Elephas maximus indicus: one gene and its partner. The protein of the gene in region 1 purifies or fractionates together with the protein of each later gene. This does not show direct contact. Links are inferred from orthologs where the notes say so. Each region holds a gene or a part of one and is shown in the gene's direction. Other genes may lie near its edges.

Evidence for each region.
Region 2: the proteins of RPL13 (region 1) and CTCF purify together in Homo sapiens (affinity purification with mass spectrometry; 3 studies listed by BioGRID and IntAct, with this or other methods). This does not show direct contact. The link is inferred for Elephas maximus indicus from reciprocal best matches to the Homo sapiens genes RPL13 and CTCF.

The regions. Positions count from the first base shown.
Region 1 is NC_064839.1:54,753,231-54,760,776, forward strand, and holds RPL13 (60S ribosomal protein L13), read left to right. Parts: upstream 1-4,285; 5' UTR 4,286-4,390; intron 4,391-4,680; 5' UTR 4,681-4,694; coding exon 4,695-4,798; intron 4,799-4,841; exon of another isoform or gene 4,842-4,916; intron 4,917-5,106; coding exon 5,107-5,248; intron 5,249-5,306; exon of another isoform or gene 5,307-5,391; intron 5,392-5,443; coding exon 5,444-5,617; intron 5,618-6,312; coding exon 6,313-6,369; intron 6,370-6,723; coding exon 6,724-6,882; 3' UTR 6,883-6,921; downstream 6,922-7,546. UniProt on the Homo sapiens protein: Component of the ribosome, a large ribonucleoprotein complex responsible for the synthesis of proteins in the cell.
Region 2 is NC_064839.1:34,059,320-34,066,799, forward strand, and holds the start of CTCF (transcriptional repressor CTCF), read left to right. Parts: upstream 1-4,448; 5' UTR 4,449-4,656; intron 4,657-5,743; exon of another isoform or gene 5,744-5,827; intron 5,828-7,480.

The DNA.
Region 1 (7,546 bases):
TCCGAGGCTCATTCTCCATTTCCCTGTGCAATTAGTAAACTTCTTTGCAGAGACGAGTGGTTTAATTTTGCATTTGTGTGTCATTTCCCTCGTGGGGAGGATTTTGGTGCGTGTGACAAGTATAGTGTAGAGCAGTCCTCAAATGCCAGGAGTTCACAGACATTCTCGCTTTCCACATAAGGCACTGCTGACCTCAGGGCCTCCACAGCTCTGCGGGCCGACCGTCTGTCCCCTTTCCCCCCTGCTGGGCCCTGCTTTACAACATTCACATACTGCCACCTACTGCTGATCACAGGGTGCAGGTTGAGCTAGCTTTCCTTCTGGGTCATCCAAGTGGTATGGTGACCCCTGAGAATGGTTGTGATGCTAATAATAAATTCTGTATATGGAGGGCCTAGCTCTGTGCCACATGGCCAGCTCCAACTCATGTACACCACCCCTCAACATGAGGACCCGTGTACAACCCTCTGCCCTCCACAGGGACCCATGTAAAACCCCCTACCAAAGTGGCACATGTACAACACCCTCTCCCAGGGACGTGCATACACCCCCCTCACTGGGACCTGTATACAATACCACCACCCTGTCCCTCCACGGTGTTGTCCAGGAATTCCCAGACCCTACTTGGTTGAGCACTGCGTTCAGCGGCATTAACTAGCCCTTCAGGGGCCTTGCAGGCACAAACCTGGGATAAAAGCCATAGGCACGGTGAGGTTTGCAGAGTCCTGTGCCAAGGGGGACAGGGACTGTCCGTATAACTAGAGATGTTTTAAAACCCTTGAGCCAGCCAAGTCTTCATTTCAGAAGGACTCCTCATAACTGCTTCTTTCTTCAACCCTTCCACCTGGGAAAGCTGAGTGTGCAGGCAGCACAATTTCATACCAGACGTTTTCTGCCTCTGTTTTGCATACTTCTCGAAGGAAGTATGGAGCAGTCAGGCATGGAAAAATTGTACCCCATGTCCATCTGGGTTGTGCACAACAAGCCAGGTCCTCAGATTACAGCTTGGCTGTCACACAGCTTGCTGGATTCTGAGCAGGGCTCAAATGGCCTACTGCCACCAGTCTCTCAGCAGCTCTTAATGAAGGGCAGCTGGAGCTTGGGTGGAGCAGCAGGTCTATCCTAGAGGTGAAAATGGGGACAGGGATAGGAATGTCCTAGAGATAAAAAAAACAAGGCATTTCGTTGTGAGAGCAGTGAAAGGGGCCTGGGAGAGGGAAGTTGGGGCAGACATATTAATTGATTTAGTTCATAGAAATCTGTCGTGGGTTAAAGCAACATTTAACCTACAAATGTTTTCCCAAGTTAGTCTATACTATATGCTGCCAGTGTGGAGTAGGTGGGGGTTCAAACCCCAACTCCAGAGTACAGATTATTGGCGGAATGAGGATGATAATCCCTCCCTCCCGAGGTGTCTGAGGATTAAGTAGAGAGGTAACCCCTGGGTAATAATTCCCTTCTTCCTTCTCTGCTGTGGTGAAGGCTACACAGCGCTGGTGGAGCCATGTGACATTAACCACCACCGTCGCTGACTTCTCCTACCCTGGGCACTGTGCCGTGTCCTGGTACGTGTAGTCCTCACAGCAGCTGCTCCCACTTCTCAGATGGGAAAAGCTTAAATAACTTTAATAAACTTGCCCAAAGTCTCAGAACTAGTACAAAGGTAGAACCCAAGACAACTCCACAGACTATATTCTTTTTTTAAATTTTTATTGTGCTTTAAGTGAAAGGTTACAAAATCAAGTCAGACTCTCATACAAAAAGTTATAAACACCTTGCCGTATACTCCTAATTGCTCTCCCCCTAATGAGACAGCACACGCCTTCCCTCCACTCTCTTTTTGTGTCCATTCGGCCAGCTTCTGCCCATCCCTACCCTCTCATTTCCCCTTCAGAACAGGAGATGCCAACATAGTCTCATGTGTCTACTTGATCCAAGAAGCTCATTCTTCACCAGTATCATTGTCTATCCCATAGTCCAGTCCAATCCCTGTCTGAAGAGTTAGCTTCAAGAATGGTTCCTGTCTTGGGCTAACAGAATGTCTGGGAACCATGACCTCCGGGGTCCTTCTAGTCTCAGACCATTAAGTCTGGTCTTTTTATGAGAATTTGAGGTCTGCATCCCACTGCTGTCCTACTCCCTCAGAGGTTCTTTGTGTTCCCTGTCAGTGCAGTCATCAGTTGTAGCCGGGCACCATCTAGTTCTTCTGGTCTCAGGCTGATGTAGTCTCTTGGGCTCATAATCATGCTGTGTCTTTGGTGTTCTTCATGCTCCTTTGCTCCAAGTGGGTTGAGACCAATTGATGCATCTTAGATGGCCACTTGCTAGCATTTAAGACCTCCAGACACCACTCTCCAAAGTGGGATACAGAATGTTTTCTTAATAGATGATATTATGCCAATTGACTTAGATGTCCCCTGAAACCATGGTCCCCAAACCCCGACCCCTGCTACGCTGGCCTTCGAAGTGCTCAATTTATTCAGGAAACTGCTTTTGGTTTAGTCCAGTTGTGCTGACCTCTCCTGTATTGTGTGTTGTCTTTCCCTTCACCTAAAATAGTTCTTATCTACTCTATAATTAGTGAAAACTCCTCTCCCAACCATAAAAGAATATTCTCTTCTGTTTAAACTATTTCTCGAGTTCTTAGTGGTATGGACCATATTCTTAAACATCACTCTAACTTCACAGATAGATACCACTTCAAAGTTTACTAAAAAGTGGTTCCATTTATGGCATTTCGTTTGCTCACAGCTGTGTGCTGTGCAGCAAGCAAGGCAGATAGGGCCCTGGCTTCATAAGGGTACACATCTATTAAGCAGCAGAGCCAGGGTTTGTACTTTCCATGTAGGCTCAATGAATTTGCCTGACAGACCGTCGTAGCTATCGCACGTTTTTGCTCTTTTTACATGTTCCGTTTTCCTGATCATAAACTTGTTATTCAACCTTAGTTTTCTAACACCCACAGGTTTCTCAATAAAGCAGGAAACTTTATCAGCAACTTATTCAGTGCAGGACACAGGCCTTCAAATATCTCATTGAGTGTCACAACTGCCGATAGAGTTTTACGAGCAAGATGCCTGTGAGTGGGGTGAGGGTGGGAAGAAAGAGTTTTGGGGATATAAAGGTGTACTGTTGGATGTTGCCTTGTCCTGGGGGACAGATGAACAGGGTATGTTGACTGGGAACAGGTGACTGGCTACTTAATATTTTTTCACGATGTTTATCTCTGCAAAGGGAGTTAGCTTGCACAGTGAATGAGAGTATGGCCTTTGGAATTGCTCACTTAGATTTTTACTACCAGTCCCCCTTACTACTAGTTGCATGGCCTCAGATAAGTTACCTAATACCTTTGCCAAGTTGCCTCATTTGGAAAGTGGGGTCAACGGCCAACAGTAGCCCCTACGACATGAGGTGGATGTGAGGAGTAAATGTTAAAGTGTGTAAGTACTGTTCTGCGTGCCTAGCGTATAGTAATTAGTAAGTATTGATTTTGCTTTAAAAAGGGGCCGTGAATGTTCCAAATGGATGGGAGGGGAAATAGACTGCAACGAGAATCCACATTTCCTTAAAGCCTGCCTGCCTTTGCGCCCCTCAACCACCGTGTCCCATAAACATGCAAAACAGTGAAATTCCCAGAATCCTAACCGTGAGTTCCCTGAGTTCAAACCGCCACTTTTTCCCTTTATCTCCTACGATGGCTGCACTTTTATTCGCGTAATTAACTTTACAAATGCAGGAATCGCCCCGTTTTGTTCCGCACACAGGGGGACAGTGGCACGAATTCGCAGGCCTTCGGAGGAGCGGCGGGGCGGCCCAGGGAGGAGACCCCGAGCAGAGATGTAGGGGCGCGGCGGGCGGGGCGGCCAGATGGTGGGCAGCGGCGCCCGGTCCGTCCGGAGCCTGGCTCCTTCCTCTCCGTGGGGACCAGGGCCATAGGCACCCATGACGCCCACCTGGAATGGCATAATCTTGAAGTCCCACTTCTAGAAGGTCTCGCAGCGGCGCGTGGCCACATAGTTCAACCAGCTGGCGCGGAAGATCCGCAGGTGAGGGTCCCAGGCACGACGCATTGCTAACTGGCTGAAGCGCCGTCGGGCGTTCCCGCAGCTGCAAAGAGCAAAGCGACGACAGAAGCCCAGCAGGTCGGCTCGGCAAACAGCCACGCTCCTGGGCTTTCCCAGCCGGACAATCAAGAACCAGCACTGATGCCCAGCTACTGAGGCGGGAGCCATGTTTACAAAGGGTCTTGGGCGCGCGGTGACGTCACTTCCGTCGCTCTTGGCTGCGATGGGTCAGGATGCTTCGGCGCTTCTGATAGGCTAGGCCCACTACATCCCAGGGTGCTTTGCGCCCCCGCTTCCTTTCTGATCGGCCGTTCCGCTTTGAGGAGGTAGGTGGGCTGTAGCGCGTCGCCATCGGGCCCCATCCGATTCCATCCACTGCCATCGGTGTGGGGCCGCTGCTGCTGTGGCCATGGAGGGCCAGACCAAGTGCTCCTGTCTGCCGCAGAGGGCGTCGGGCCGCGGCCTGGCCTTCGGAGGCACCGCCGGGAGCCCGGGGAGGAGACCCCGGCCGAGACCTGGGGGTGCGGCGGGCGGGGCGGCCAGGTGGTGGGCAGCGGCGTCCGGTCCGGCAGGAGCCCGGCCCTTAACCTGGTCCCTCCTTCTCCGTGGGGCCCAGGGCCATAGGCAGCCATGGCGCCCAGCCGGAATGGCATGATCTTGAAGCCTCACTTCCACAAGGACTGGCAGCGGCGTGTGGCCACGTGGTTCAACCAGCCAGCGCGGAAGATCCGCAGGTGAGGGTCCCAGGCGCACGAGCACCGGGGGCACACGGTCACGTGATGACATTCTCCGGAATCGCTGTACTGCTTTGATGAAAAGTCTTTTCCACCTGATGATCGTGGACTTTTTATTCAGAGTTCTGCTGAGCCCTGCTTGAGCTTTTGGGGGTTTTGTCTTAAGGTGGAAGTACTAACACTGCAGTAATGTGGTTGATGGTAAGCAGGAGTTGGGAAGGAACTGATTGGAGTTAATAGCAGGCTTCGACCGAGGGGAGGGCCTCCCTGAGGTGAAGGTAACTGTTGCCTGCTTTCTCTCTCACCAGACGCAAGGCCCGACAAGCCAAAGCACGCCGCATCGCTCCTCGCCCTGCATCCGGACCTATCCGGCCCATAGTTCGGTGTCCCACAGTCCGTTATCACACCAAAGTCCGAGCTGGCAGGGGTTTCAGTTTGGAAGAGCTGAGGGTGAGTGTCCACAAAATTGTATCATTATGAAGTTATCTGTGATGGTAGCTCGTTCACGTGATGACAGTCTCCGGAATCGCTGTACTGCTTTGATGAAAGCTCATTTGAACCCTTTTCCATCTGACGACCGAGCGCTACTGTGCGGGCCTGGAGGCCTGAGAGCCCGTGGAGCTTCACCTTCTGTTTCTGGAGCAGGTGGCTGGTATCCACAAAAAGGTGGCCCGGACCATTGGGATCTCCGTGGACCCGCGGAGGCGGAATAAGTCCACCGAGTCCCTTCAAGCCAACGTGCAGCGGCTGAAGGAGTACCGCTCCAAGCTCATCCTCTTCCCCCGGAAGCCCTCCGCCCCCAAGAAGGGAGACAGCTCTGTGAGTATCCTGTACTGGCACCACTGGGGGGTGGGTAGTATAGCAAGAGGGTGTTACAGGATGCTCAGGGGGCCTGGTCAGGGCCAGTAGAGAGATCCAAATCAAATAAAAAGAAATCTGTGTTTTGTCTGGCTGGGATGAGAAGAAAATGTGTTTTTTTTTACCTTCCAAACTTTAGGCATTTGGGCCTCATATGTGGGTGGTCAAGAGTTGAGTGACTTGTGAAGTTGGCCCCGTAGAATTCTCATTTTCAGCAGTACAACTGCCCAGGCCAACTGCCCTTCTGACTGATCGTTTTCCATTTCTTGGTCACAGTAAAAGCTGTTTGTCTTGGAGTAGTTTGCTTATTTCAGTGGAAGCTCGTGTCAGTCTAAAATGCTTTATGTGGGAAACATATTCTTAGACAGGCCTTGTAGGATAAGGTTAATAACATTTATTGTATGGGAGTTACTGTTATTTCTGAAGTTTCTAGCATTGGGTTGGGGAAAGGCTTTGAGCTCAAGTAGATACTTGGCTCTCACTTGCACCCCAGTTCACATGCCAGGCCGCTGGTTTGCAGGGTGAGATGAGTGTATCTTATCTATTGTGGGTTAAAACGGATATCACACAGCTCACATACCATGTTGACTTGTAGTGGGAGCCTGGATTCCTCAGGGAGACTGAGCCCCAGAATCTTTTTTGTCTTAAATAAACAGGCTGAGGAACTCAAACTGGCCACTCAGCTGACTGGACCGGTGATGCCCATACGAAATGTAAGTGGACAGATTTGTTTGTTCAGTCAGTCCTGCTGCTGTATGTGTAGCAATGCTTGCCTCCAGCTAGGACACTCCAAACAGATCTGAGATGGTTTCTTTAGCTTGTGGTCAGAGTTTCTGTTTTTAATTCTTGATTCTCTTAAAAGCAGTTAGTAAACAGAAACCCACAAATGCAGGGAAACCGTTAGATCCTGTGGAGGGTCATTGTCAGCCCTTTTCTTGGCAGCCTCAGTGTCACCTCGTTGTTGCTTAGGTCCCCCGTGGTGTCCCTCACCGGACTCCAGCAAGCTTGGCCCTTACTTGTTGGGGTGCGGTGGCTCAGCTGATGGCTCCAACTCCACTCTCCTTCAGGTCTACAAGAAGGAGAAAGCCCGGGCCATCACACAGGAAGAGAAAGACTTCAAGGCATTTGCCAGTCTCCGCATGGCCCGCGCCAACGCCCGGCTCTTTGGGATCCGTGCAAAGAGGGCCAAGGAGGCTGCAGAGCAGGATGTGGAGAAGAAAAAGTAAACCTCTGTCAGAGACCTTTAATAAAAGCAGTGAAACACGTGGTGTCTTCAGTGTGTGAGTGGCCAGCTGGGCACTGGGCCTTGAACAGTGCTTCAGCACCATGGGTCCAGGCTGCGCAGGAGATGAAGGGCTTTGGTACAGCCTGGAGATGTGCAGAACGGCAGCTTGCTTTATGGAGAGGTCATTAAGTAACATCACTTTTTTAACCAGAGTAATTTCTAATCTACTTGGCATCCAAGGACTTGGGGTGACCTCAAGGCTGCTGGTATACTGGAGCCACTGGGGGTTGTGTGGGTGGCCAGCTTGTGTCCCAGGCAGGATCACACAATGTGTGAGGTGCTCAGATACTACCTGTCATTGTTCCTCCATCTCAGTAGTGTGGTCACTATGGTCCTAGGAAATGACGTGGGGAACCACAAGCCTGGTGGTGTGAACCTGTCAGGTGGTAGTACAGTAAGTCCCATGGACCCGGCACCTGTCATCTGAGCTGCCACCACCGATTCCCTAAACTCCTTTCTCATTTTGAAGCAAATTACAAGTGGCTTTATATCCTAAAAGAGGGCTGTTAATTACATCCACACAACCTAGGCTTGGCTCTCAGAGCTTTGGGGAGCAATTCCCAAACCTGAGCGGGGCCATTGCCATAGTCTGAATGGCCTCCTGG
Region 2 (7,480 bases), about 21 Mb from region 1:
AGATGTCTTATTTACATCACTGCTCTACACCCTAGTCCAATGGTGTTGGGTGACTTGCTGTTCCCAAAACTCTTGTGCACTTTAATGTCCTTGATTTTGACCCTTCACCTGACATGCCTTTGCCTCCCTTGTTAATGCCTTCCGCTCCTTTAAGATGCAGCTCAATGATACACCCATGGAGAATGACTTTTGAGTCCACATTGTGAGTCCACAACAATGTATTTCTTTCCATTATAACAACAATCACATTAATGGTTTCTCATTTTTTTCTACCAGTTTTACCAGTTAAACTTTGAGTTCAAGGTCTGGAAACACACCGTGGGCCCTCTTTGTATTCCCAATGCCTAGCAGAGGGAGCTGCACACAGCATGTACTCAATAAATGGTTGCTGAATTGATCACGTCTTACACGTGTCCTCCAATAAGCACAGAGGCAGCAGGAGCGTTCAGGTCTAACTTTAGGCCTTACCCCATTGTTATGTAGAAAATAAACACATCCTCCATTTATCAATTATCTTGCTTAAACAGTTCAAAACATATAAATGATCACAATTATTGCAAGCTTTAAAGAGGGCAACAGTGGGAGCCAAGGAAGATCTTGGCAAGAGATCTCTGAGAATCATAGCACCAAGTATGCCTTTCCCAGAAAGAAGAGGCACCAGGTCAGAGAAACCCTAGTCAGTAACTTAACTGATTCTACTAATAAACCTAGAAAGCCTATGTTCAATCAGAAGGCAGAGCTAGGAGTGAAAAGTAGGTAATTGAAGCACAAAAATAAAATAAATTATAACAGTTTACATTACTGTATGATTACTGGTGCCTAGAACTATGCCAAAAGCTTTACTTGCATTTTCTCATTTAATCCTTACCATTACGTGAAGTTGTACAATTATCATGCTTTTTTAGAGGAGAAACCTACAGCTGGGTAGTTGATAATTCACCTGACACCACAAAGCTAACAAGGCACCAAGACAGGACCTGAATCCAGAACAATGACTCCAGCATCCAGAGCTGGTAATATTAAACATTTAAGTTAAATAAGTAACCAGATCTCTGGAGTTTCCCATCTAGAGATCCCCATGTAGCTAATACCACGAAGTAAGACACACCATGACTTCCTACAAGAAGAAAGCATTTCCTTTGGTTCCTTCCTAGTGATCCTCAGCATTTTCTCATCCTTGTGCCACAGTGGCCAATGGAGTCTTTGTCTTCAGAAAGCAGACTCCAAGGCCACCTGGACCCCATTTCTTGCTTCTAACTGGTAACTCACAGGTCATGTAGTTGTAAATACAGATGACATTCTTCCCCCTGAATACATCATCTTATATTTGCTCACACTAAAAGTTTAGAAGATGTTCCTGTAATTATACAAAGAGATGCACTCCAAGCACTATATGTAAATTAAAATGGAAGTCTAAAAAATGTTTTAGTAACCCACAGAAAGATAGGAAAAATAAAACAGAAAACAAGGAACAGGAAACAAAAAACAAAATGGAAGACTTAAGCTCTAACATATCAACAATTACACTAAATAAAAAAGCCCAAATTCACCAATTAAACAGAAATTGACAGTGGATTAAAAAAAAAAAAAAAGACCCAACTATATGCTGTCTACAACAAACTAACATACAATGTGGATGTAGCTTACTCTTAAAGATAGGAAGATAATAATGGTTTGAGATAAAGTTCTAAAAGATAGTGAATAGATTATTAATGATGCCCAAAAGAGGCTAACAGGCTGACTCATTAGGGGGAGAGCAAGTGGGAGTAAGGAGTAAGATGTATATGAACTTATATGTGACAGACTGACTTGATTTGTAAACGTTCACTTGAAGCTCAATAAAAGTTAATAAAAAAAAAAAAAAAAAGAAGCTAACAATTTAGAGGAAGTCAGCTTTGCTATTCCTAATTATACCAGGAACTATTTGGGGTGGGGGTGCGGGGGGGTGAAGAAATGCAAAATGCAAATATCCCAGAGTTACCCGGTAATTTTTCTCTAAGTTTGTCTTTTCATTATAGTTAAGTCTTAATGTGAACATAAAAGACAAATAGTATAATTTGGTTTCTAGAAAGATAGGAGTCACATGTTAATTTTCTAAAGACTTGACACATTTCTAGAAGAGCATCTAATTGCATAAAGCAAGTACCTGGGTACTGTACTTGTGTTAAAAAACCATATCTCTTTTCTTCATGCCTGTTCTCAAGCAGTTGAATGCTGCTGGAGGAAAACCACACAACTGGGTCAAGTGGTTTAACTTTAAACTCATGATCACAAACCTCAAATCGGTACCCAATGCCAAGGCAGTCCTGCTAGGTTTACACAGTAAACTTGCTTTCCCTCTCCCCTGCACTGGCAAGCCTCTTCACTTTTGTCACCTTATTATCATGGTAAAAGCATCCTTGTTCCTATCCAAGGTCAATCCTCTTCAGGTGCTATGAACCCTGTTTGCTCATATCTTTCATGGATTTCACTCCTACTGTCAAATCTTCTCTTTTCTGCATCACCCATCACCATCACCCTCTCCACAGCACACAATCACACTCTAGAACTCTACTATCTATTAAAGCATTCTCTCCCTTGGCCCATGTCCTTCTACAGTTATCCCCAAATTTCTCTGTTCCCTTTGACAAAAAAACTTGTCTTAAGTTGCTTATATGTGCTGTCTCTATTTCTTCACTTTCCCATTCACTTTTCAACCCACTTTAGTCAGGTCCACCTTCCAATTTACCAAAGCTAATCTAGCCAAGGCCATCAATATCCTCCAGTGACCTCCAAAGTGACCAATTCATTAGCCATATCTCTGGCCCAAGTTTACCAGACCTCTCAGTAACACTAAACACAACTGACCATTCCTCTCCTTCCTGAAACCCTCTCTGCCTTTGGATTCCACAACTCAACACTATCATGGATTTCCTTCTACCTTCCTGGTTGATCACTCTGTGTCCTCCATTAACCTATCTCTAAATACTGGAGTGCCCGAGATGATCTTGAAGTCAGAGACCAGAAATTGACAGCTCAGATGTGTGCTTTAATATCATGTAGTTTAAAAACATCTACTTTAGTTGTTTGCCATCGATCTGATTACAATTCATAGCACCCTACAGGACAGGGCAGAACTGCCCCAAAGGGTTTTCTAGGTGAAGTCTTTACTGGAGAGGCCAGGTCTTTTCTGCTGCAGAGCAGCTGGCAGTTCCGGTAGCAGCCCAGAGCTTAACCAATGCACCACCATGACCATCTGAAAACCTGGAGAATTATATTTAAAAAACCATATGCCTGGGTCTCTTGAAAGAAACCAGAGGACTTGTCAATACTGGGCCGGCATTATCATAACGGAACAATCGACTGAGTGGAGCAAATGCTGCCCCCTTGACGCTGAGTCCATTTGTTATCCGTGATATCTAGGTAAGGGGGTTGACAATACAGTCCTGAGTCAGATTCTCAGAAGCACTAAAGGGATCTTCTCACGAAGACACCGGAACACCTTCCAGGCAGTCCTCAGTCAACATTTTCGCTGGCCGCTTAAGGTCCACAAGTGCAAGCTGGGGAAAGGGGAGGCGGCCACACTATTCAGTGCTGAAGGACTCCGCCCACAGACAACTTAGAAGCTCATAGGCAAAGACAGAAATCCACGTTTTAAAATACAAAATTACACTGCACCGAATACACAAAATATCCTTTCAGCAAAAGACGGACCGCTCTGGTCTTGTAAAATCCTCAAGTCTGGTCTTAAGCTGGCCTCTCTGGGCTGAGGTGGGCTGTGGGTCACCGAGTGGAGGTCTTCACCCTCCTCTCTCGCACCTGGTTTCAGGAGGCCCTCCTCTAGGGCGGAAAAAGTAAACCAAATGTCGCTGGGCAAGGACAGCCCTCCTTCGCCGTTTTCAGGTGCTGGATCCAGGCTGGGGAGATGGGAGCGCGCTGGGACAAGCTGAGCCTTTCTCCGTGGCAGCCCACGACACGGCGTTCGGAGGCCGGGTTCGGCCCGGCTAGGCGGGGACTGGGGCGGGGCTGGGCCCAGGAGCCGCCTCAGCCTCACGGTTCGGCCTCGCGCGCGCTTCCTACAGCTTTCCCTTCCCCGCCCCCGCAAATCTCCCGGGGTTCCGGGTGCTGGAGGCTGCAGCCAGGAAACCAGGTCAAGAGCGCCGGGGACCCGGGACAGCCCAAAAGTTGCGGCCTGGGCCCCAAAAAGCCCCGCCCAGCAGGACCCGGATGGCACGACGCCCACAGGGCCCACGCGTGACGGGCGAGGGCGCGGGAGGGCGCGTGCGGCGTGACGCGACTCCGGGCGCGTCCCGTGACGCCATCGCGCCGGGTTTTGAAAGTTGGCGCCCGGGGCCGCCTCCCATGCTGCCCCGCGCCAACCCCTCCCCTCACCTTTCCTCCCCCGCCTTCCCCTCGCCGCCCGGCCGGCCCCCCCACCCGTCCCTTCCCTTATCAGCACCCGCGGCCCCGGCAGCGCCGACGCAGGCGCACTTCACCGCGCCGCCGCCATTTTGTGTCCGAGCCTGTGGAGCGATTAAACCGTGCGCGGAGCTGCTTCTTTGGCGGCAGCGACGGTGGCGGTGGCCGGTGCAGACGCGCGGAGCTGGCCGGGGACGCCGGGTGGCCGGAGCGGGGGAGCGGCGGCGGAGCGGGCGCCGCGGGGGGTGTGGCGCGGAGGTAAGGGGGCCCGGGGTGGAGGAGGTTTCGCGGGCCGCCTCTAGGTGTCACGATGGGGCCGCTCCGGTCGGCGCTGGCTGCAGCCCGGCGCCAGCGCCGCCGCCGGGGGGTGTTTGTCTCCCTCTACCGTCCCTGCTGCGGCGCGGCCGCCGCCATTGCCCGTCGCCGCGGCCCGGCCTGCCCCCCCTCGCCCGCCCGCTGGGCCTCCCTCCTGGCGGCGCGATAGGCCTCGGGCGGTGGCGGCGACCGAGGCCCGCGCGCCCGGCGACTCCATTTTCCTTCCTTTGTCTCTGCCCTCGAGGCCGGCTCTTGGCCCGGCCGATTGCCCGGCCGCGGCCCGCCCTGTGTCCTCCGCCCCTCCCGCGACGGGTGGCCCCAACCGAGAAGCGACCTCTTCGCCCTGGCTTCCGCAACCGCCTCGCCCAAGGGTCCGGACCGCTACCACCATGCGCGCAGTCGGATCTCCGTCCAGTATGGGTGTCAGACCCTGGCCGACGCGTTCCGGGTTGCCCATCCTTCCGCCCGCCGGGTCCCCGGAGCCTACCGGGCCGCCTGTGTGCGTCCCCCGCCGCTTGGCTGCTGGGCGGTCGCTCCCAGTCTGCACGCCGTCGCCGCTTGTCTCCGTCTCCGCCGAGTGGCGCAGGCGGCGCTGCTGCGGCTGCGAGCAGAGGGGCCCCAGCGCTGCCGAGAGCTCCCTCTGCAAGGCTGGCTGAGCTGCTCGCGCCTCAACGCCGCCTGAGCGGGCGGGGGGACGCGCGCTCGCCGCCCCCGCTGGGCCCCGCTGAGCCCCCAAACTCGCGCCGGGGCTCCTCGCGCGACTCAGCGGGTGCGGCCCCATGGTGGCTGGAAAAGACGCGCGCGAGTTCCGCACCAAATAGCTCCTTAGAGTGATAGCAGCCTGACTTTGTGCGCTAAGAGATCTCAAAGGGATTGGAACTTAATTTCACTCTGATCTCAAGTGACAGTGACAAATTCCTGAATTCGCGAGTACGGGCTAAGTTCAAGCAACCCCTAAGTTTGGCTCCCGCTTTAAAATGTCTTGATGTTAATTTACTGTACACCACTTAGTACCTGATGCTCTAGGGCTGGGCGAAAGCAGTTCTGTCCTGGGATTGTGCAACTCGATCTAAAGCGCCAGTAGAGCAGAATGAATTTATTCTTGACTGGACTGGTAATTTGCCCATACGCTGAAATATGAGGGTTGATGTTGTAATTGAATCCTGGGTCACTCGGTGCAGATGGTTTATAAATATCTATGCCTGTTAGTAGTTAACTTCTTGTAGGTCTGAGATCGGCATTAAGTAAACATACACATATATGTGTTTTCATGCTTGCTTTGAGTTTAGATCAATTAGGAAAGCTAAAATTCCGCGTCCCTGTGGGCGGAAAAAGAAATTCAACAGGGCATGTATTTAAACTTACTTTGTTTTTAAGTCTTGCATCTTTCAAAACTTCCTGTTGAACAACCTATGTTTTCTCTTTTTGCGTTTTTTTTTTATTTTAGTAACTTACTATAGTGCTGTGCAGCAGCTGATGTATTAACTTGGGTGACTTTGGAGAGAAGAAAGTCTAGATTAACTTTTTTTTATTAGGAAGAAAAACTGTTAAGCTTATGAGGAAATTAAAACAGGCCGGTGCTAAACAAATTCATTGGGTCCACTGTATGTAATCTTAATCTGTAGGTTTTGCAGCAGTCTGCCTCTGTAGAAGAGTATTTCAGCATCTCTTTTTACAACCATAGAAAATGGTCCTGCCTCTCAATAAAATCAACGCTAAGTAACTACGTGCCAGTAATTTTGGTGGAGTGTTGGACTCGGGAATAGAACCACCTCTAATTGTCTAATGTCTTAATCCATTTGTACAATTTTTTGTGTTTTATGGTTCTCGGTTTTATTTTTCTTTTGAAACTGTGAGGGCCTATGGCTTATTTTATTAAAATGAGCTCTGCATATGGGTAAAAAAAAATTAAAATCCACAAAGTCTTTAGTTGACCCAGGAGTAAAGCATTCCTAGATTAGCGTTCTGCTCCACCGCGCAGACCACACTTGGCTCCTCTCTTCGGTTGTCCCGTGTGCAGTCATCGTCTTCCTGATCTTACACATTTATACTGTCTTAATGGTGTAAATGGTATAAACCATGCACCTTGTCCACACAGTTGTCATCCTTTGAGATTCTTGATGCTCTGTTTTTATTGGAAAACTAAATCTACAGAGAGAATAAATTGAGAATATGAGGTAACCCAAAGGAATTTACTATTTAAATCAGTAGTATGAGGAAGGTTACAACAGGAATGTCTGCCTATGTAAAAAAATATTGCTTACTTAAGAGCAGTTGTAAAAGTTACCCATAGGAATCCATTTAACCTACATAAGAAAACTTAGGACCTGTAAAAGTTACCCTTAAGGGCCATCCAAATTCTAAGAATTGAGTGTTCAGTTTTTGTTTTAAAGGACATACAAAAATGAGGGTATCCACCTGGGACTTCTCTCATGGTTTGGGGAGTTCCTTGGGTGTGGCAGAGGCCACCTGTGGCTGACTGGGGCCCTAGGGAGGAGTGCTGTGGCAGAGCTTTGGACAGAAATGCCTGCTGGCAGAAAGTCACCACAAGAGCAAGGTTTCTTTCTTCAGGAATGCTGCTGGCATTGAAGCCAATCTACATCAAGTTCGTTACTTAATAGCTGCATCTCATTTTTTAAAAATCAGAAATGTAACTTGGCCATTTTTCTACCTTATTTATTTTGGGTTCAAGTGACTTCAGACTGTTTTGCCAAAAATTAAATCTCTTTTCAAACAACTAAGATTTGTCACAGTTTAAGACATTGAA